4 linked regions of the Arabidopsis thaliana genome follow. The protein of the gene in region 1 purifies or fractionates together with the protein of each later gene. This does not show direct contact. Each region holds a gene or a part of one and is shown in the gene's direction. Other genes may lie near its edges.

Evidence for each region.
Region 2: the proteins of AT5G09390 (region 1) and AT4G26600 fractionate together in Arabidopsis thaliana (co-fractionation; one large-scale study listed by BioGRID). This does not show direct contact.
Region 3: the proteins of AT5G09390 (region 1) and OLI2 fractionate together in Arabidopsis thaliana (co-fractionation; one large-scale study listed by BioGRID). This does not show direct contact.
Region 4: the proteins of AT5G09390 (region 1) and AT4G17590 fractionate together in Arabidopsis thaliana (co-fractionation; one large-scale study listed by BioGRID). This does not show direct contact.

Annotation. Positions count from the first base shown.
Region 1 is NC_003076.8:2,911,594-2,916,520, forward strand, and holds AT5G09390 (CD2-binding protein-like protein), read left to right. Parts: upstream 1-1,888; 5' UTR 1,889-1,997; coding exon 1,998-2,071; intron 2,072-2,395; coding exon 2,396-2,585; intron 2,586-2,710; coding exon 2,711-2,836; intron 2,837-2,912; coding exon 2,913-3,086; intron 3,087-3,226; coding exon 3,227-3,356; intron 3,357-3,445; coding exon 3,446-3,487; intron 3,488-3,626; coding exon 3,627-3,798; intron 3,799-3,936; coding exon 3,937-4,014; intron 4,015-4,140; coding exon 4,141-4,210; 3' UTR 4,211-4,386; downstream 4,387-4,927. Other genes in the region: AT5G09380 (RNA polymerase III RPC4), read right to left, coding at 75-290, 377-459, 560-620, 713-765, 905-979, 1,104-1,140, 1,239-1,299, 1,376-1,431 and 1 more; KUP7 (K+ uptake permease 7), read left to right, coding at 4,784-4,927.
Region 2 is NC_003075.7:13,417,600-13,424,330, forward strand, and holds AT4G26600 (S-adenosyl-L-methionine-dependent methyltransferases superfamily protein), read left to right. Parts: upstream 1-1,961; 5' UTR 1,962-2,029; coding exon 2,030-2,569; intron 2,570-2,665; coding exon 2,666-2,729; intron 2,730-2,858; coding exon 2,859-2,998; intron 2,999-3,100; coding exon 3,101-3,184; intron 3,185-3,275; coding exon 3,276-3,350; intron 3,351-3,439; coding exon 3,440-3,511; intron 3,512-3,604; coding exon 3,605-3,678; intron 3,679-3,923; coding exon 3,924-3,976; intron 3,977-4,058; coding exon 4,059-4,168; intron 4,169-4,371; coding exon 4,372-4,440; intron 4,441-4,525; coding exon 4,526-4,600; intron 4,601-4,770; coding exon 4,771-5,036; coding exon of another isoform or gene 5,037-5,040; exon of another isoform or gene 5,041-5,114; coding exon 5,115-5,214; coding exon of another isoform or gene 5,215-5,241; exon of another isoform or gene 5,242-5,328; coding exon 5,329-5,654; coding exon of another isoform or gene 5,655-5,658; exon of another isoform or gene 5,659-5,758; coding exon 5,759-5,819; 3' UTR 5,820-6,192; downstream 6,193-6,731. UniProt on the Arabidopsis thaliana protein: Involved in ribosomal large subunit assembly. S-adenosyl-L-methionine-dependent methyltransferase that probably methylates the C(5) position of cytosine 1586 (m5C1586) in mitochondrial 26S rRNA.
Region 3 is NC_003076.8:22,644,929-22,651,530, reverse strand, and holds OLI2 (S-adenosyl-L-methionine-dependent methyltransferases superfamily protein), read left to right. Parts: upstream 1-2,013; 5' UTR 2,014-2,147; coding exon 2,148-2,744; intron 2,745-2,833; coding exon 2,834-2,897; intron 2,898-3,012; coding exon 3,013-3,146; intron 3,147-3,241; coding exon 3,242-3,325; intron 3,326-3,407; coding exon 3,408-3,482; intron 3,483-3,585; coding exon 3,586-3,657; intron 3,658-3,745; coding exon 3,746-3,819; intron 3,820-3,960; coding exon 3,961-4,013; intron 4,014-4,119; coding exon 4,120-4,229; intron 4,230-4,431; coding exon 4,432-4,500; intron 4,501-4,585; coding exon 4,586-4,660; intron 4,661-4,757; coding exon 4,758-4,850; intron 4,851-4,937; coding exon 4,938-5,017; intron 5,018-5,102; coding exon 5,103-5,202; intron 5,203-5,315; coding exon 5,316-5,635; intron 5,636-5,740; coding exon 5,741-5,789; 3' UTR 5,790-6,083; downstream 6,084-6,602. UniProt on the Arabidopsis thaliana protein: Involved in ribosomal large subunit assembly, required for normal progression of rRNA processing. S-adenosyl-L-methionine-dependent methyltransferase that probably methylates the C(5) position of cytosine 2268 (m5C2268) in nuclear 25S rRNA.
Region 4 is NC_003075.7:9,800,299-9,804,350, reverse strand, and holds AT4G17590 (NOL1/NOP2/sun family protein), read left to right. Parts: upstream 1-1,759; coding exon 1,760-1,778; intron 1,779-1,863; coding exon 1,864-1,938; intron 1,939-2,048; coding exon 2,049-2,230; intron 2,231-2,313; coding exon 2,314-2,382; intron 2,383-2,459; coding exon 2,460-2,537; intron 2,538-3,240; coding exon 3,241-3,342; intron 3,343-3,427; coding exon 3,428-3,508; downstream 3,509-4,052. Other genes in the region: LIL3:1 (Chlorophyll A-B binding family protein), read right to left, coding at 1-100, 199-592.

The DNA of each region.
Region 1 (4,927 bases):
TTATGCCCGGTAAAAACCATATTGCAGGATCTATGGTCATAGAATACTTAGTAAACGGAAAAAGAATCACTCACATCATAAAGCACTTCCCCAAGTTTCATCTTGACAGCACCACTTTTGTAGACTAACAGTTTGCCCATGTAACCTTCTGGCAAGGCTTTTAAATCAACAGTCTTCTTCTCAACGGGGCCTTTGATATTTGGCCTTGTTTCAAGGTTTTCTGTTGGTGTTGATGCCAAAGGAACAGAAGGTAGCCTCATAAAAAACATTTTCTGTTCTCCACTATCCTCCTGCCAACAAGTGATCCACATTATGTAACTATAGAGTTTGCGTGTGAGTTTTGGTTTATCGAATTTTTATATGTAATGTCACTAACCATTAGACCGAGATTAGCGGCTGTGTTAAGTGAATCTTCATGATGTCCTCCAGCCTGCATAAACTCCTCCACGTCAAGAACCTCTGCAATAATGAGCAGCATCTTAAACATAGGCAAATGGTAATCAAGAATCTGCTTTCACAAAATTGTTTTATTTTTCTTCTCAAGCAAATATATGAATACCTGGATCTCCTGCATACGGTCTCCTCATTGGAAGTGTGATAGGGTAATAGCTGTAGTAATCCTGTGAGACAATCCAAGAATTAATTATGCATCAACATTATCGATATATGAGTTCGAGATATAACTTTAGGGACAGGGTACTGTTATACCGACCCATGGTTCTTTATACTCTATCTCCTGAGTAGAGGTTGATCCATAAGCACCATCTGCACAACAACCAGCATGTATCAACACCCCCGCAGAATTATCAAAAACTTGTGATGTGTTGTGAATACAATTGCCTATGTTTTTTTTTGTTAAAATATATAATTGCCTATGTTTTAAACAAAGAAAAGAAATTGTTACTTGATCTATTGAGGTACTTATTTGATCTGGTTGAATTCACCACTCCCCCCAACCAAGCAACTTGAGAAGCAGGAACTGTATGATACATAACAAAAACTAAATCAGTGATGTATCAAAGTGATGTTTTTTTTTACAACTAGATAACGTAGCAGCAAACAGAGTAAAGATACGAGTCTGAGTTTCAAGTTAAAGACACTACCTTTCTTGTCCGCTTTTGGCTTGCGCAATGATCTTTCCTAAGGCAAACAAAAATCAAAATTAAAGAGAACTGAGTAAGTAAGAAGACACAAGAGCAAAGACAATTTCACTCAACGATTAAAAAAAAAAAGCTTACATTAACTCTGCGTAGCAATTCCGATGCTTGTGCACTGTTACTATTATCCTCAACCACTTCACTGCATTCATAATTCAAAAGTTTCAGAAGAAAAACATCTGTTTATGTTAATCAGATCAGTCATTAGTGTTGCTTACGGTTTAACTTCAGGTTTTGGCACACGTTTGGGTGGAGCTTTTGGGGCAAACTTCATCTGCAGAAGAACGCAAAATCGAAAATTTAGCAGAGCCAAATATTTTATCTAACATGAGAAGTTAACGATGATAGCAAACACAAACCTTCCGTACTGGTGGTTTCTGCTCCATTGCAATTGAATTCAAACACTTCGACTAAATAAAAAGAACCCCAGAAGAATATTTAGTTACGATTATTCAAGTATTCGGTTAATATTTTGAAACGAAAAATTCACAGAATTAAGAATCAGAAGCTGACCTGTGACTCCAAGTTCAATGACGGCCAACAGCTTGAGAAGGAGGATGATCACCAATTAAGGAGAGAACCCATAAATTAGGGCCTGTGCCAAAACGGCGGCGTTTTAGTCTAACCATGGTAAAAAAGTAAACCGGTAAATTAAAGGAAACAGACATAGTAATTCCAAACGTTAAGCGCGCTTTTTAAGGCCCATTTTTCAGCCCATTAATACGGCCCAATTTGTAAACGTCGGCGAGAATTCATGCTTTCGTCTTATTTCCCCTCGACGGCGATTCTCACCGCCTGGAAATAAACAAATCGTCGTTGTTCTCGTCTAACGCTTGTGCAATGGCAGATAGTTCGTCGAGGAGGAACCTTAAACGATCCTTCTTAGAAGATGAAGATTCCGATAAACAACCTCCGTAAGTTTACAATCTTTTCCGAAAACCCTAATTTCCAATTTTGTTCTGCTAAGCATGACGATACGTGTTTCTTCTTTTCGTTTCCGGTTGATTGACTCAGTTTTAGGGTAGGAAAAATTGAATTAGTAGCTCTTGTTTCTTCCATCTGATTCTCTCTTCTCCTCAATTTTGTTAGACTTAGACATTGAACCTGAAATTGAATGCCAAACATATGATTGTCTTGAACTTGGAGTATTAATCAGCTTTGAAATTTGTCTCAGTTACAACTTGAGTTTGTGTGCATACGCTATAATGTGGATTCTAATGGAGGATTCTCTCTGGCAGCGAAAAGCGAGTACGGTTTCCAAAGGGGAAGAAGTCGAAACCTGAACAGCTCTTAGAGGAAGAAGCTTTAGCCCGCCGCAAAGCCCGTGATGCTGCTAAGGAGCGTGCAAAGATTCGCAATCAGAATACTACTAAGCTCTTTATCGAAGATGACAGTGATGATATTAATCAGGCTCAGGAGACTTATGAGGTAGGATTTCTACTATCCTCTTTTTGTTTGTTGACTGTTCCTGGAAGCTAATTGTGTATATTGCGAGATCTCAATGATGTTTGTTTGCAAAAAGAGTTATGCTGATGTGATTTATTTCATTGTAGGATGATGGCAATCGCACAGAAGATGGGATCCAGATTGAAGCTTTTAGTCTGGACAGAGAGAAAGAAGAAGGTTACTTTGATGCTGATGGGAACTTTGTAGAATATGTTAGAGAAAAGGAAGTCAAGGTACACATCTTTCATTGTAAAGCTTAGCTCCAAGATATCTTGTGTATTGTCTTTCATTATATGTGTTTTCTTTCAGGATGCATGGCTTGACAGTATTGAAAAAAATCCAATGTATATGGGACGATCTGCTGCAAATGATACTGAGATGGATGATGATAGTGGGAACGAAAAAGCAGGGGATGACCTTTCTCAAGATGAAATCGGAGTTAGAAAGAGGCGCATTGCTAATGTCCTTGAACCAGGAGAAACGGTGAGACTCATTCTGCGTTTTAACAAGTTTTTGTTTCAAACATGAAACATGGATTGTATTAGTTAAAAATGTCACCTTAATATAGCATTGTTGATTATACATACTTCGAACACGTAAAATAAATCGGTTTCATGTTACAGGTCTTGCGAGCTTTAAGGAGGTTGAAAGGGAATTCGAATAATCGCAAGGAGAAGATGACATCTGAGACCAAGCTTATCTTTGATCAGCTTACTGAGGATGCGGACAAGCTTATCGAGAACGGCGACTACAGTAAGTCTCTAATAACTTATGCTACTTCAACAACAAATATGATGTCCTCCATTTGTTAATATATGTGTTCCTCTTTTTATGTATTGAAGATGTTTATCATGAGGAGCAAGAAGTTTTCCAACGTGAAGCAGGTTAGAGATTCTAATACTTTTTCAATATCAGCTGTAGATGTAGCTACGTTTCCTCTGCTTTGTGATATCACCTTTTCACAACATTCGGGAACAATTGGCTTGACTTTTCACATTCTTCTTCTCTATGTTGGTCTTTTAGAAGGATATGAGAGACTAGCTCAAGCGAAAGAAAATGGGACTGCCAATATAGTATCTTGTGATATGTTTGGCGATGATGAGAATGCTCCTGAACCTTCCTCTGATCTACAACCGTCTAGCTCCATCTCGGGCACTCAGCTTAATTCTGATTATGTGTTTGATGAATCTTCAGGGTATGTTTGTATATACTCTCCTCTCGCGCTCTCTTGTTGCATAAGTCAGCTTTTTGTCCGAAGTATTGTGTTGCTAGCAATATTCATTATGAATCTCAATTTTATTTATCTAAAAGTATTCTATAAATGGTTTTGCAGGTACTACTACAGCAGCAGCCTTGGTTACTATTATGACCCGAACACTGGACTTTACTGCTACGCAACAACCGGAAAATGGTAAAATTTACTTGGGATGAGTTTAGAATTTTGAAAACCCATTACTAATCTCTTTATTCATGTGTTCATAATTTCGATTATCAGCTCAATTCTGGTTATGTGTTTGATTACAAAATATGCGTGCAGGTACAGGTACGATGAAGAGACTAAGGAATATAAAGAGGTGGTTTCTGAAGTTGCTACTGAAGAAGTTTAATTTTCGTTTGTCTGTACTTTTGACTAACACAGGGTCTTGAAATATTTCCCTTGTTGTTTTTAGTTTGAAAGTAAGCACATCATACATGAGTTTATATAAATATATTTGGATTTATTGGTTTTCTCATTGATTTATGAGAAATTATAGAGATGAAAGTAAATTTGGACAATCTTATAATTGTATGAACAAAATTAGCTGTGAAGAAAGAAAACGAAATTATGAAACAGAGCCTGAGAGGTTATCGTAATCCTCACACACTCTCACAGTATGAAGCAAGAAAGTCTCAAACCAAACGTTGACCAATAACACAATCTAACCGGTTCAGACTTCCGGTACAGAACATGTCACGTTTGTATCAGACCGGTTCAGCAGCGAACTGGTAAAGCAGAGATTGAGAACATCGGCATGAATCGGCAGTGAAGAAACAAGACTTCTCGTCGAAAAATCTTTATTTGCTCCTGAGAACTTTTGATCGGATGCGAAACTCTAGTTCTACGATTCTTCTCGTTTGATCGACCCTGCGAAACTTTCGGAGGTTACTTTAGCTTTGATTGCAATCTAAGAGTTCTGAAAATGGCGGAGGAAAGCAGTATGGAAGGTTCTGAAAAAGAAGAGATCGATAGCTCAGGTGGTGGTTTTGGAGATATGGCATCCATGGATTCTATCGAGTCTCGATGGGTTATTCAAGACGATGATGATTCCGAGATCGGCGTTGAC
Region 2 (6,731 bases), on another chromosome or scaffold:
ATTGAACTAGCAAGAGACAATTTTGTGAGGTAAGAGTTGCAATTTAATTGGCGATCACTTGCAGCAGCTAAAAACAAAATTTTTAGCGATAGTGACAGTCTTAATGCATTATGCATGTAATTGGTTCGTACGTGTATACTTGCTGGTGCACCGCTTAATAGACTCCGAATTTGACTCGGACTCTTTGTGCGTTGGACGCGCGTCACAGGTGTGTCTTTCGGTCTTGCTTGTGGTCGCAATTGTATGTATCGTTGTTTTTGTTTTGATTGCCAATATGCATCATTGTTTCCATAATCTATCGGTTATACAATATGAAACGCATATTTCCACTTTTATTCAAGTTTCTGTTTCTAAGACACACACTGTCTTATTCAATCTGTTTCATGTCAACGTCTATGACTAGGTTCTATGTGTTATAAATAACTTGCAACTTCACCAAAAACATAATACATTTTTTTTTGACAGCCAAACTACATATATATCCTGCAAATGATAATATTTCAAATTCTAACACAATTTTACAAGAAATTTCAACCAATCAATCAAATTATTTTTGGTAGTTGGAATTAAAATTCACCAAAAATAAATTCGTGTTTTCATTCTTAAAGAAGAAACAGAATCGTTTAGAACTGATTTTAGAAAATTACGTGATTCATTTCAGTTTTTGTTATCAACATCACTAGCTTCAATCATGCATGGGCTGAGCATGTAACGCAGGTAGAGATGTCAAAATGGGTTAAAATTCATGGGTTAACTCAACTCAATTCAACCCATGAACTCTAATGAGTTGAAAATTTTGACTCAAATGAGTTAATGGGTCAAATGAGTTGATGAGTCAATTGGTTTGATGAGTAAAATGAGTTGGGTTGTAATGGTTAATGATTTCAATGGTTTACCCAATTAACCCATCAAGTTTTGTAAAATTGAATTAAACCAACTAAAATTTCTAAACCAATGCCAATTTAAGTTTAACCAACACATTTAAACCAATTTAATAAAATTAATATTTTTCCAAATTTCTTAAATATACAAGCGATGAAATTGATAAAAAGTAAACTCGTAATTTTTCACTAAAAAGATAAACCCGTGATTTTCCCGCCAAAAACGTAAATCCATAATTTTCCCGCCAAAAACGTAAACTCGTAATTTTCCAGCCAAAAACGCAAATCCGTAATTTTCCCGCCAAAAACGTAAACTCGTAATTTCCCGCCAAAAACGTAAACCCGTGATTTTCCCGCCAAAAACGTAAATCCGTTATTTTCCCGCCAAAACGTAAACTCATAATTTTCCCGCCAAAAACGTAAATCCGTAATTTTCCCGCCAAAAACGTAAACTCGTAATTTTCCCGCCAAAAACGTTAACCCGTGATTTTCCCGCCAAAAACGTAAACCCGAGATTTTCCTGTCAAAAATGTAAACCCGTAATTTTCCCACCAAAAACATAAACCCGTAATTTTCCTGCCAAAAACGTAAACCTATAATTTTCTCGCCAAAAACATAAACCTGTGATTTTTCCGCCAAAAACGTAAACCCGTAAAAAGTGGAATCCGTAAATATTTTAAGTTTGATGATAATGAATTAATAATATTAATTATTTATTATTGTTTTATAATAATAATTAATTAAATTATTATTTAAATGGGTTAACCCATTTAACAATTCAATCCATCAAATTAAATGAGTTATGGGTTGACCCAACTCATTTAACATCTAAACTTATTTGATTAAGAGTTGAGTTGGATTACCCATTTTGAAACCCCTAAACGCATACATCAAATAACTTATTGAATTATGTTTTTATAGGTTTTATGAATTCAGTGGCTCGATAATTTATTAGGCTGACAAAAAATAAGTTCGACTACAGCCCATTAGTTAGTATTAGTCAGGCCCATTAGTTAGTATCAATCAAGCCCATTAAGCAACTTTGCTCATCCTCCATCTTTACTAGATTCTTCGACCTTGCTTCTCCTACCTCTGCAATTCTGCTAAACCCTCACGGCGATAAACCCTAAGTTGTAAAAACCGTATCCATGGCTGCTCTTACGCGTAACAAGAAGAAGGGTTCCAATTCACAGACTCCGCCACTGAATAAGCAGACTAAGGCGTCTCCGCTGAAGAAGGCGGCTAAAACCCAGAAGCCTCCATTGAAGAAGCAGAGGAAATGTATTTCGGAGAAGAAGCCCCTCAAAAAGCCTGAAGTTTCCACAGACGAGGAAGAAGAAGAAGAAGAGAATGAACAGTCTGATGAAGGGTCTGAATCAGGTTCTGATTTGTTCTCTGATGGTGATGAAGAAGGAAACAATGATAGTGATGATGATGATGATGATGATGATGATGATGATGATGATGATGAGGATGCAGAACCCTTAGCTGAAGACTTTCTCGATGGTAGCGATAATGAGGAGGTAACCATGGGTTCTGATTTGGATTCTGACTCTGGTGGATCCAAACTCGAGAGGAAATCTAGAGCTATTGATAGAAAACGTAAAAAGGAGGTACAAGATGCAGACGATGAATTCAAGATGAACATTAAGGAGAAACCTGATGAGTTTCAGCTACCAACCCAAAAGGTTACATTTTCCTTTACTTAATTGTGGATTTGTTCATATTCTGGATCTCTGGAGCTATTTGTTAGCTAATCTTTTCTATTACTCTACATTGTTTAGGAACTTGAAGAAGAGGCACGTCGGCCGCCAGATCTTCCTAGCTTGCAAATGAGGATAAGAGAGAGTGAGTAACATTTTCAAATTTTATTCCTTTTTAAGAATTCTGGTGTAATGTTATTATTATGATTGTTTTAAATCTCCTAAGGAATCATCCTCTCGGTTCTTAGTTTAATGGTACTAATTTGTGTTTCAGTTGTTAGAATCCTGTCGAATTTTAAGGACTTGAAGCCAAAAGGAGACAAGCACGAGAGGAATGATTATGTTGGACAGCTTAAAGCTGATCTTAGTTCTTACTACGGCTATAATGAGTTTCTTATTGGAACTTTAATTGAGGTTATTCCCTAGTCTCTGACTTTACTCTTTATGCTTGCTTTGATCTAGAGTTATGTGTAGGAATTCTGTTACTTATACTCTTTAGTTGTAATCTTCTGGCAGATGTTTCCTGTTGTTGAACTCATGGAACTAATCGAAGCTTTTGAAAAGAAAAGACCTACATCTATACGTACTAACACTCTTAAGGTGAACTTGGTTGTGCATTGGAGTGTCTAAAACAAAGTATTTCTCAGCTGTTGTGATATTTCAATTAATGCTGATGTTTGTTTTGGTTAAGACTCGAAGACGGGATCTGGCTGATATACTTTTGAACAGAGGAGTTAATCTAGACCCATTAAGCAAGTGGTCAAAAGTAAGTAGTATTTGCAGATTGTCTTCCATTTTATTTGCGAAAACATTTTTGTGGACCATCTTTAGTTGATCCTGGCATAATATTTGTAGGTTGGACTTATCGTTTATGATTCACAAGTTCCGATTGGTGCAACTCCTGAATATTTGGCAGGATTCTATATGGTACTTGATTTTCTGATTTTTTTTGTACTTTTCGGCTCACACTTTATGGGTTTTCTTATTGTTTACTTAAGTATGTTCTTGGTACATTTTCAGTTGCAAAGTGCTAGTTCGTTCTTGCCAGTGATGGCCCTTGCTCCTCGAGAAAAAGAACGAGTTGTGGACATGGCGTAAGTCATTATCTTACATAAATGCACTATATTTGTGTCTCAGATAAATATATATATATATATATGATGACCAAGCAGTACCTTAATCTGATATTCAAGTGTAGCTTGTGATATGTATCATTTGTTATGATTGTTGTGATGATAAGTGCTGTCAAAACGGAAAAGCCAATTTGATTGTCCCGTGATGTGAGACATATGCAACTAGTATATTGTGATATCTGTAACAAGTTCTTATACCACTGCAGTGCTGCCCCTGGTGGTAAAACAACATATGTTGCTGCACTAATGAAAAATACAGGTATACATATATTGGTTCCTTATTCCTCCAGCCCCATAATTTTAGTCAGTTATATCTAATGTTATAATGTTTATATAACCAGGCATAATATATGCAAACGAGATGAAAGTACCTAGGCTTAAGTCACTTTCTGCCAATCTACATCGCATGGGAGTGACAAATACCATAGTTTGTAACTATGACGGACGAGAGGTTAGTTTCTTGAACCTTTATTCTTCTGTTGACGGTACATGCTTGAGGATGTTAAATATTGCAAACTGGTTGTAAACCATCAGCTCAACCAAATTGAAAAATTACTGGCAAGACTGTAATTGCACCAAATAACAAAGTTTTAAAGACAGCTTCTCTATTATTCCCTTGCATTTTTTATTTATCTCATCTTCTTTGCCTTTCAGCTAACCAAAGTTTTAGGTCAGAGCTCGGTTGATAGAGTATTGCTGGATGCTCCCTGCAGTGGAACTGGAGTAAGAAAGTTTGGACCATACACTCTTATAGTCTTTTAAGTGAATTTCTCTGTTCATAGTTTAATGTCACTTCTACACAATGCAGGTTATATCAAAAGACGAATCAGTTAAAACTTCCAAAAGTGCTGATGACATAAAGAAATTTGCCCATTTGCAAAAGGTATGTTGTTGCCTTAAACAATATCAACTAAAACATTCTTTACATCCAAGACAAATATTTAAACATGAAAATGGCATAAACGCCGTTTATACCCTCTTACTGTGAGTATATAAAGAAGGATGCATTTGGTATATAATGCTAACCATACTCTCTTCTTTTCTTGCGCATAGCAACTTATACTTGGTGCGATTGATTTGGTAGACGCCAATTCCAAAACCGGTGGATATATTGTTTACTCAACATGTTCAGTTATGATACCCGAGGTTGGTGAACCATACTTTTTCTGTTCCACTATTTTTTTTTCCTGGCATCTTCATGTTTTCTCACTAGTTCTATTTGTACAACAAATTATGCAGAACGAAGCTGTCATCGATTATGCTCTGAAAAACAGGGATGTTAAACTCGTTCCATGTGGACTTGATTTTGGCCGACCAGGGTAATATACATTTTCATCTGCATTGAAAAATTTCATGATTCGTCATCTGAACACAAATGTTTTGCTGCATATCTTCAGATTTAGCAGTTTTAGAGAACACCGGTTCCACCCTTCTTTAGAGAAGACTAGACGTTTCTATCCTCACGTGCACAACATGGATGGATTCTTTGTTGCAAAGGTATACACTTGGTTAACCTATGAATAGCTTTTCCCTGCAAAACAGATGTTTTATAAAATATGAATAGTGATTAAACCAACGAGGTATTTACTTTTTCCTTTCTTTGTTCTGCAGCTGAAGAAGATGAGCAATGCAATGCAGCCTTCAGGAAATGATGAGCCAGCTGTAACAATGGAGCAAGCTCAGGTGTCGTCTAGTGATGATGATGATGAGAAAGCTGAGGCCATTGAGGAGTTGGAGAAGCCACCTGTTGCCAGTGGGCAACCCAAGAGAGAGAGTAACACTAAAGAAGACACGAACAAACGAAAAAATCCAAGGTCAAAGGAAATTCACAAAGGCAAAAGGAATAAAAACACAAAAACCGAAAGTGGTAATGTGGAAGAACCCAGGAAGCAAAAGAAGAAGAGATCACAATGGAAGAATGAGATTGCTCAAGCTAGGTAAAAAAACTAAGTGTTTCCTTGACAGACAAAAGAGAAAACCTTCTTATGTACATTGTTGTATCATACACCCATTTACCCATAAATGGTTGAATATGTTGCAGGGAAGAAAAAAGAAAAACCATGAGAGAGAATGCTAAGGAGACGCCAAAGCACAGGGGATAAGAATAGGTTTGAGATCGTGATGCATCTTGAAGAGTAGAATATTTCGGTGTTCTGGCCATGGCGAAGGACACAAGAAAAGAGGCTTCATTGGCTGAGGCCAAGGTATCTATACAATGGCTTTCTAGTTTTGATTAATTTACTGCGTAAAGAAAGGGTGACACCCACATGGATTAGCTGTTACATGTCCAAAAGTTTTGTATCAATCACATAACTTGATTTTTGTGAGAGGCTGTTTCTATTTTCCGTTTTCAATTGGAGTTGTAAAATTTATTGAAAACAAAAACGAGTCCCTACTTTCTCTCACAAGTGTGTTTGAAAGGCTATTCATTTTTCTGCTCCTAGCAATTATTTAATAAAATACATAAATCTTGGAGGGTTGGGTCCATACCACCACATAAGGATAGAATTTCTCATAGTATTGATTTGACGAAAAAATAAGGGAATTGGGAGTGAGCTGGTCATTGTTAGGGAGAGATGTGAAGGTTTTCTGAAGTGGGACTTGAGTGTTGGAGAAACATGACAATCCAATTCAACTCTTCTTCATCCATCTTTATCAGATTCTCCTCCGTTGGGGACCTTACATTTACTTCTCTCACACTAATCTTCTTGTTTCTATTTTTAGATTATAAGCCCATATTATAACTGCTAGTGCTTGTAGCCTTGTATACACAAACTCACATGCATCACATATAACATCGTATAATTGCTGTATTCACTTTATATTTGGATATCCAAGATTATAGAAAAGAGATTCCTTTGCAGGACCCAAAAGATACAGCTTTTAAAAGCAAATGAGTTCATTTTAATTTCTTGCTAACCAAAATGGTAAGTAATTTTGTGGACTTATGGTATGGATAAATAACAAAATCTCAATAAACCATTGAAAATAGGAAATCAAAAAATATATTTCTG
Region 3 (6,602 bases), about 20 Mb from region 1:
GTTCATTTTTACGTTTCTATTGCCAGCTCTAACGATTTTGACTGTGATTCATCTTTAATTAGATAATTAAGATCTATTGCCAGCTAGCTCTATTGCCATATTAATTACATAATTATCTCTAAGACTAAAAGATCATGTTCTGATGAAACTTGTCAACTTGACATGTCTCTAACTGCCAAAACTTATGAATTTAATGTACGTAGAACTTTTTAATATTGACTCCGATGACTTATTTGATGTTTGAAATCATGTGTAACAACTTTTGGCTCGATAGGCCTAATATATTTATTAGCTTTTCACAACCAGATTCTTGAATGAGACTTTTCTAGCCGTCATGTGAAAATGATGTAGCTAATAAATGGTCTTCTTTTTTTATGAATAACACCGACTCAAAGGTAATTTCAATGAGAAAAATATGAGCATTTTAGGTATGTCCTCAAACAAATTAAAACTGTATTCAAATAATTGATCATCTTGCTACATTATATAATAGAGGTGGTGATCAAACATCATAGCATAGTCATATTGTTAAGATGTCTCAAACATCGTCGCATTAGGTCTGAATCGGCAGGGCCGGTCCATATACTAATAAGTAATAACCAAATGTTATGAACTACGCGAGTGTAAATAACATAAGATGTTAAAATGGTTGGTGAACGTGCATTAAATTGTTCTACTGAACGCGTTATTGGTTTTAAGCATGTCGATATTTGTAGAGATTGTAATATGTTGTACGTATTAGAGATTAATATAAACGCGTTATTGATATGTATATTACATTTGATATCATGCGTTTGCGGACAAATAAATATCTTTATTATATACATCATATCGTCACATGTAATGTGTCACTATATATAATAGAAAAGAAATCAACTTAAATGATTGTAGTCCAATCCCCCTATATAGTCGTATATATCTCATCGGTCAAGACACATATGACATAACCAATTTTTAGTTTGAGTGTTCTACATGCACGCATGTATTCAACGAATGGGTTAAACGTTAACTCGTTCTCGTAAGATTATTTTTACATAAAACAGTGAATCTTTTTATTGGTAAATATACATAAAACTGATAATAGTAATAATCTAATTTAGCAACTAGTTTATCCTCAGAATCATTAGATACGTTACTGATCTATTATGATTGCTTAGTGATTAGATAGAGCCGATATCAACTCAGTTTGTACGCACAAGACAGAAGACTAATGAATAATGACAATATATATTCTCGACCCATTTCACACAATGCTAGTACAAGATAAGGTGCTTTCGTGTCATAGAGATTTTGACAAATTGATTATAACTTCCGTTGACTGATGGGAGCGAAATTGACAAAACCATTAACAGATTATGAGCAAGTTCTCAAGATTTTTTAGTTTTCTTTCTCTCTCGGTCCCAAAAGAAAAGATGACAATAGCTAGCATCAACTTGTTAGAAAAAGACGATGAACAAGTTTGAGAATTGGACCACTGAAAATCCAATTTCCACCCAACCAATTATTCTACTATTAGTGGAAAAACGTGGTCAACCATCTTTGTCAACTTCGCCAATATGCTTTTCAACTTCTTAATTAATGCCTCAAATCTCGGAACTACATTTTGTCACAACGCTAAAGATAAAAGAGAACTAAAAGTAGAAAAACAAGAGTTTGTGAAAGTTTACAAGTTTTTTTTGTAGAGAGAATTTTAACCGTGTTAATGTTTTGTTCCAAATGTTTTTGTTTGTTTTGGAAAAACAAAAATTTGGTTGTTTTTATTTCACAAGTTCAAGAGCACGCTTGTACCAACAAGATCGATGATCGTGTTGTTTCGATTCGTGTCGAAGTTGACACCGTTTCGTTGTCTTGTTTATTGATCGAGACATATTTGTTTTTGGTTGTGGAACAAAATTTTAAAGTATATTGCGTGTTCACACTAGTTTGAAAGTTGTGTGCGTATGAATAAACATATCGAATAATCAATAACAAGGCACCATATAGTTATTGGGCTCAATTTGTTTTAAATTGGGCCGATAATTATTTAGGCAAAAGCCCAATAATAGACACCAGTCAAATATACCTTTGTGTACTCCAACAATCATCATCTTCTACTTCTTCTCTTAAACCCTGGCCGCGCGAGAAAACCCTAATTCAAACCTGTAGCCATGCCTGCCCTCACTCGTAACAAGAAGAAGGCTGCGACGAAATCGATAACCCCTCCAACGAAGCAGCTTACCAAATCCAAAACCCCTCCAATGAAACCCCAAACTTCAATGTTGAAGAAAGGAGCGAAATCTCAGAACAAACCTCCATTGAAGAAGCAGAAGAAGGAAGTTGTGGAGGAAGAGCCTCTAGAAGATTACGAAGTTACCGATGATTCTGATGAAGATGACGAAGTTTCCGATGGTTCTGATGAAGATGATATTTCTCCAGCTGTGGAATCAGAAGAGATTGATGAATCTGATGATGGAGAGAACGGGTCTAATCAGTTATTCTCTGATGATGAGGAAGAGAACGATGAAGAGACTTTGGGTGACGATTTTCTAGAAGGTAGCGGCGATGAAGATGAGGAAGGATCTTTAGATGCGGATTCGGATGCTGACTCTGACGACGACGATATTGTGGCGAAATCTGATGCTATTGATAGAGACTTAGCAATGCAGAAGAAAGATGCTGCTGCTGAACTGGAGGATTTTATCAAGCAAGATGATGTACATGATGAAGAACCTGAACATGATGCGTTTAGGCTACCAACTGAAGAGGTAACATTTTTTTCATGTGTAATACTTACTCTGTTTGATTTTGGTTTTAGCATATATCTAACTGTTGTTGTTATCTTTCATTTGTCCAGGAGCTTGAAGAAGAAGCTCGTGGTCCACCAGATCTTCCTCTACTTAAGACTAGAATTGAAGAGAGTTAGTAACATTTCCAAATTTTGTTGCTTTATTACTGTTGAAATGTTGGTGTGATGGTATTTATCTAGGTTGGTTTGGATTGGTGTTCTAATTGTTGATTCATTTAACATTTCAGTTGTTAGAGCTCTTAAAAATTTTAAGGCTTTCAGGCCAAAAGACACCACGAGGAAAGCTTGTGTTGAACAGCTCAAAGCTGATCTCGGTTCTTATTATGGTTATAACAGTTTTCTTATTGGAACTTTGGTTGAGGTGAGACTCTCTAGTTTCTTTCCTTTGATATAGTATGGATAGGATGTTGCTGATATTCTTTACTTATGGATGTTGAATTGGGATTTCTCTTGCAGATGTTTCCTCCTGGTGAACTTATGGAACTTATTGAAGCTTTTGAAAAGCAAAGGCCTACGTCCATCCGAACTAACACACTTAAGGTGAACTTGGTTGTGACTTACTGGGTTGTAGCTTATGACTTTCAAGTTCTGCAATTTCATGGTGATGTATGTTTTGCTTTAGACTCGAAGACGGGATCTTGCTGATGTACTTTTGAACAGAGGAGTCAATCTAGACCCATTAAGCAAGTGGTCTAAAGTAAGTAGTTTGTTCTTACTATTTTCTATTCTGTCAGTCCTATTTTTATGAATCTTCTATTGTTGATCTGTCCTAAGTCTTATTTACTGATGTCCTACTGCAGGTTGGACTTGTTATTTATGATTCACAAGTCCCAATTGGTGCAACTCCTGAATATCTGGCTGGGTACTACATGGTAAGTGATCTTCTGATGTCTTTCCCTTTTCTTCACCTTTATGGAATGCAATTGTTTGCTTAAGTCTCTCTACTTGGTGTATTTGCAGCTTCAAGGTGCTAGTTCGTTTTTGCCAGTGATGGCCCTTGCCCCTCGAGAGAATGAGCGGATTGTGGATGTAGCGTAAGTTATCATCATCTACTCATCTACTAAACAATCGCTGCAGCTAAAAAGCGTTTGACCTTGTTGGCGTGTGATGATTCCAATTCTAGTGTTTGACTGTTTTGTTGTGTGAGTTTATAACAAGATTTTATATCGATGCAGTGCTGCTCCTGGTGGTAAAACAACTTATATCGCCGCTCTAATGAAAAATACGGGTATGTCTTCATTGGTTTCTCTTGCTTCTTATCCCCATATTCTATTTGGCTGTCGTATGTTTTTTTTTTTTGGTTTAAGTAATGTTTATAATGATGCTATTACCAGGCTTAATATATGCGAATGAGATGAAAGTACCTAGGCTTAAGTCGCTAACTGCCAATCTGCATCGTATGGGGGTCACAAATACCATAGTTTGTAACTATGATGGAAGAGAGGTTAGCTTCTTGAACATTGATTTTTCTGTTGAATTTCTGCTACCTGTTCACAAAATGTTAAAAACCCCGTAACATCTACTTGAATTCACACTACTGAAATGACTGGAATTATAAAATTTGATCTGGTTAATTTTGCTCAACATGCTGCCCAGTTTTATTTTCTTGCACTTATTCTTTATTTCGTTATCTTTGCTGCTGTCAGCTACCCAAGGTTTTAGGTCAGAACACGGTTGATAGAGTATTGTTGGATGCGCCTTGCAGTGGGACTGGAGTAAGGAACTTCGAACTTACTCTCTGTTAAACTGTAGTTAAGTTTTAGATCCTTGTTACTAAATCTCCTCTGCTACCCAATACAGATTATATCAAAAGATGAATCAGTTAAAATAACGAAAACCATGGATGAGATAAAGAAATTTGCTCACTTGCAAAAGGTATGGCAGTACCTTCTTAAATAACTTCTATTATATCTGAACAGACCAATTTTCATTCTTAAACACATGCTAAGTTAACCCTTTTTTGTTCATGAAGCAACTTCTACTCGCTGCTATTGATATGGTGGATGCCAATTCCAAAACCGGTGGATATATAGTTTATTCAACATGTTCAATTATGGTTACTGAGGTTAGTTAACTGATAATTTCCCCCATAATTTTCTTCTTTGTATTTGATTCATCCTAATTTTTCTTTATGTATGAAAAAATTGTGCAGAATGAAGCCGTCATTGACTATGCCCTCAAAAAGAGGGATGTTAAACTCGTTACGTGTGGTCTCGATTTTGGCAGAAAAGGGTAATGCACAAGTTTTTCATCTGAGGGATATTTAAAGGAACATTAAATAATGTCTCTAACTCTTTGTCCTTCTTCTCTTCATCAGATTTACCAGATTTAGAGAACACCGGTTTCAGCCATCTTTGGACAAGACTAGACGTTTCTATCCTCATGTACACAACATGGACGGATTTTTTGTGGCAAAGGTACTCACTTTTGGCCATTGTAATCGATCAACCATGCACTTGTCAATACTCTAATAGTTGATATAATCCACACAATTTGATGTAATGCTCTTGTGTTCTTTTTCTTTATACAGCTGAAGAAAATGAGCAACGTGAAGCAATCTTCAGAAGAAGGTGATGATGATGCGGTAGAAACTGTAGAGCAAGCTGAAGTGTCTAGTGATGATGATGATGAAGCTGAGGCCATTGAAGAGACGGAGAAGCCTTCTGTTCCCGTTAGGCAACCTAAGGAAAGAAAAGAAAAAAAGAACAAGGAAAAACTTGCAAAATCAAAGGAGGACAAGAGAGGTAAAAAGGATAAGAAATCAAAATCTGAAAATGTGGAAGAGCCATCTAAACCAAGGAAGCAAAAGAAGAAGAGACGGGAATGGAAGAACGAAATAGCTCAAGCTAGGTATATAAATATCTATCCCCATCCATGAACTGAGAGAACAAAATGCTTTAGACTTGTCTTTTATATATAGTTGCTTGACAATGATTTGTATAATCACGTTTGCAGGGAAGAGAAAAGAATAGCCATGCGGGAGAAGGCGAAGGAGGAGAAGTAATGATGATTCAGTGTTTTTTCATCAAAGAGAAGAAAAAACATTTGCGAAAACGTTATCATCTATGGTTATAGTAGGCTTGTGCCATATATTGGCTTTCTTGTTTTTGTTTATTCACGACGAGATTTGTGCAACGTTAAAAGCACCCAGAGTGAGCACTCTGTTGGACTCCGTGGGCAGACCACCTTAAATGTCCAAAAGTTTTGTTTCAGAAAAAAATCTTTTAAGAGAATCAAAGTTAAGTTGTGTTCTTGAGCCGATCACTAAATTGCTGTTATTTTTACTCAAGAACCAAACTAGGGGTGGCCAAAAAAAAAACTATAACTACTAACCTAAATATTTTTTATTTCGAAAAACCCAACATTTTTTAACCTAAATGTAGTTGGAACAAACCGAAATGAATATACTAAATTTTGTTAATTTTAAGTTCAAATGATTAATTATCAACTTTTTAATTAATTTGTTAATTCATCACTTCATATGTTGGAATTGACTCAAACCAAACTATATCAAACCATAATTGTATGAAACCAAACAAAATATATGAAATTGAAAGGCTCAGAATTGTTTCAGTTTAGTTTTTCTTATTTTTCAGAGAACTGTTTTTTAAAAAAAATTAGGGATTTGGCAGTGAGCTGTTGATTGGTTGTAAGAAGTTAGAGAGAGAGATTGAGAAACTCTCACACCAAAGTGGGACTTGTGTTGGAGAACATGACAACCCATTCTTCATCTATCTTTGTCAGATCTTGTTTGGGGACCTCTCAATTTTAATTTGATTATTTATCCTTAACTCTTCCTTTTTCTTTTTTTATTTGC
Region 4 (4,052 bases), on another chromosome or scaffold:
ATCCAAGCCCACCATGGAATAATCGATGTATCGAAAAGCACTGGTTCGTCGTTACTCGTTGTTTCTGGATTCTCTTCTAGCCATTTTCTTCTCTTTGCCTCTTCAAATCAAAACACATTAAACATCAAATTCAAATTTCGAATTTTCACCAAAGTAACAGAGCAAAAAAACTTAACGAGGATCTAATTCTAATCTAACCAGCAACGATTACAGAATCCCAATCGGTTTTTCCATCTTTCTCGAACTGTTTCAGATCCCAAGTTCCATTAATCCATCTCGCATCCTGGAATTTGACAACACTCTCCGTTGTTTTCATCTCTTCACCTTCGACGGCGACATTTTTAGCGGTGGCGGTTTCTTCCTTTTTAACCGCCGGTGTTGATTGCGGAGGCTCTTTAACTATCACTTCCACGGGCTCAGGAGCCTCCACGGAGACGGCGGCGGTGGGAGAGGTTGATCCACTGTCGGAGGAAGCTCGAGTGACGGAGAGGAGAGAGAAGCGGTTACTGGAGAGGAGGGAGAATGAAAATTTGGGAATGAAATTGGGATTTTGAAGAGATGAAGAAGAGATTGGCGGGGAGAACAACGCCATTGTTGTGGTTTCTTCTTTACTTCAGAGTTTCACAAATCACAACTAGTGGTTCTAAATAGACTTGTTATCGTTTAAAGATGTAACATGTATGTCGTTTCTTTCTCCCAAATTGAGACTACGTAACGTGTTTTTTTTCCCTCTACACATACAGAAACAAAAAAGTGACTGTTATCTTCATGGGCTCGTATTAAAAGCCCATCCCAGTATTTTGGTGTTGTTATGAGGGTATCAAACAAAGAAAGTCAACACATTTACCTGATTAATCAAGCAAAGTTTTTATTATTATTTTGTATTCAACTAAGCAATGTACCTTACAATATTTTCCATTTTACAAACAATTTAAGGTTTAACTTTTTAAAAGGAAAAATTGTACTAAACTAAATTCATTAATAATATATTTAATTAAAATTTTAATTAATTTTTTTTTCTGCAAACTGAATTATATTAACCAATTGAGATTTTACAAAGTAGTTTTTGTAACCAAGGTGGTTGACGACCTGATTAAGAATAAAAATCTCCATGAATACAATTAGAGGTTGAGAGGTAATGAGCTATACTATTATTTACACGCTTTGTGAAGCCAAAGAAGATTGAAGAAATTTTTAATTAATTTAAAATTTTGAATCCCATAAAGTATGGTGAAAAGAAAGCTCAACAAAAATAAATTTGTAAAGAAAACATAATATTTCTTTTAAAACATAAAAAGCCTAAAAAATGAATTCTAAAATATGTTTTTTACCTTGATGCCCTAAGCCATGACTTCACTTGATTGTGTGGAATGTCGGGCTTGATTTATTATACATAAATGCATTGTATTTGTTATAATGCAACACGATGACCAAAGGATATATGAAGTTGATTTTCAAGTATGATTTGTATCATGTGTTATGATGAAAAGTGCTATTATATATTAGACTCTAAACTTAGTACTTGTTAAGACAATCTTAGTGAATTCCGGATTATAAATGTAGATTTGTCACAACCGGTTGTTACAATAGCATCTTATACAACTTAATTGTACGAGATAAGCTCACTTTCAGTTCTTTACCAATCTTGAATATGAGTGTCGGATAATCAAGGCGTCGCATAATCAAGGCATTTTGAATATGACTCTGGAGAACTCTTTAAACTAATCAAGGCGTTTGAGGAGCCGATGCCGACATATATATGGACGAACACTCTAAAGGTAAATTTGGTTATCCATTGTTCAATTGTTTAGTAAAGTTTTGAGATTATGCATTTTTATGATGAGTTTTGTTTTTTTGCTTAAGACTCGGAGAATATATCTTTCTCAACAGCTTTTGGACCGAGGATTTCACGTATGCCTGCTACAGAACTGGTCAACGGTAAGTATGCAAATTTTCTTCCTCTAGATTCACAACAAGTATTATGTTGTTCATACATACATGTACTTGATTCTTTCAAAACTGCTTGTAGCATGGACTTGTCATTGAAGATGAACCTGAAAGTCTTCCCATTGGGGAAACTCCTGAACATCTGTCTGGGCGCTTTATGGTAATAAAAGGTATAATATTTGCTAATGCGTCTACTGAACACTTGCTTGGTTCACTTTATGCCAATCTCCATCGAATGGGGATTACAAATACAGTTGTTTCCAATTACAATATCAATACAAAGGTTAGCTTCTTGAACCTCACTATTGATGATATTAAGGGTAATAAAAGTTCTGAAATAATTTTCTATTATTCCTTCCCGTTCAGCTATCTAGGGTTTTCCATATAAACTCAAAGGATATGGTGTTGGTGAATGCGCCTTCAACTAGAACTGGAGTAAAAATTCAACTCGTCTGTCATGTTTTAACTGAATTGTCAGGTTTTAACTCAAATGCTAACTTCTATCTATGCAGCTAATATCAGAATTTGGATCGATCAAAATGTCCATTAACGAAGAAGCTGACATACAACGCTTTGGTGTTTTGCAAAAGGTAAAACTTGCTTGGCTTTAACAATTAATGAGAGGTTATGTTTTTAACCATAATTATCTCATTTGACAGCAAAGCCAACAGATTTATCTGATTAATTAAGCAAACTTTTTTTTTAAAATTTTGTAATCCAAATCTAAGCAATGTACACCTTAGAATATCTTCCATTTTGCAAGAAATTTAAGGTTTAACTTTTTAAAAAAAACCAAAAATTTACTAAACTAAATTCATTAACAAATTATTTAATTAATTTTTTTATTAATCTAAAATTTTAAATACCACAATATATGGAGAAAATAAAGATTAACAAAATGAATTTATAAAAAAGACCTATAATATTTTTCTTAAAAAATAAAAGCCTAAAAATAAATTCTAAAGTATGCCTTTTTATTTTGATGCCTAAGCATAAAATGCATTGTATTTGTTATAATATAACATGATGACCAAAGGGTACATCAAGTTGATATTCAAGTATGATTTGTATCATGTGTTATGATGAAAAATGCTATTATATTAGACTCTAAACTTAGTACTTGTTAATCTTAGTGAATTTCGGATTAAAAAATGTAGATTTGTCACAATCGGTTATTATAATAGCATCTTATACAACTTAATTGTACGAGATACGCTCACATCAACTTCTTTACCAATCTTGAATATGAGTGTCTTTACCAATCTTGAATATGAGTGTCGGATATAATTATAGATAGTAGAAGGCGTTCACATGTCTGATTATGTTGACCAGCTTAAAGATGATATTGCTTCTCTTTATGGGTACAATAGGTTTCTTATTAGAACTTTGGCGGCAGTGATTTTCTCTGACTTTATTCTCCATGACATTCCTATCTCTGTTGCTAATTACTCATTTATCATCAACTGAAATTTCTTGTCAGACGTTTAGTCTTGCAGAACTCGTTAAACTAATAAAGGCGTTTGAAAAGCTGAGGTCTACATATATACGAAGAATACTTTAAAGGTAAACTTGGTTATCCATTGTTCAAGTGTTTAGGAAATTTATTAGGTTATGCATTGTTATGATGAGTCTTATTTTCTTTAAGACTCGCAAAATGTATCTTGCTCAACAACTTTTGGACTGAGGATTGGACCGAAGATTTCAGGTATTCCTGCCACAAAACTGGTCAACGGTAAGTATGCATATTTTCTTCCTCTAGATTCACAATAAGTATTATTTTATGAATGTATACATGTAGTTGATTTTTTCACAACTGGTTGTAGCAAGGACTTGTCAATGAAGGTGGACTTTAAAGTCTTCCCATCCTCTTTAATATATGGGTAGCTCTTTAAATTTAAAAGGTTTTTTTTGATGCATTTGTAGATTCAAAACCTTGGTTCCTTGTTCGATGTAATGACATTAGATGCACAGAATAATGAAACGATTGTAGACATGCAAAAGCCATTATTTTTTTCTTTATCATATTTTTATTGTACCTGATGGTATGCCTTGTTTATAAGTTTATTTGCTCCATATTTTTAATTTGTACTGATGATTTAATTTAA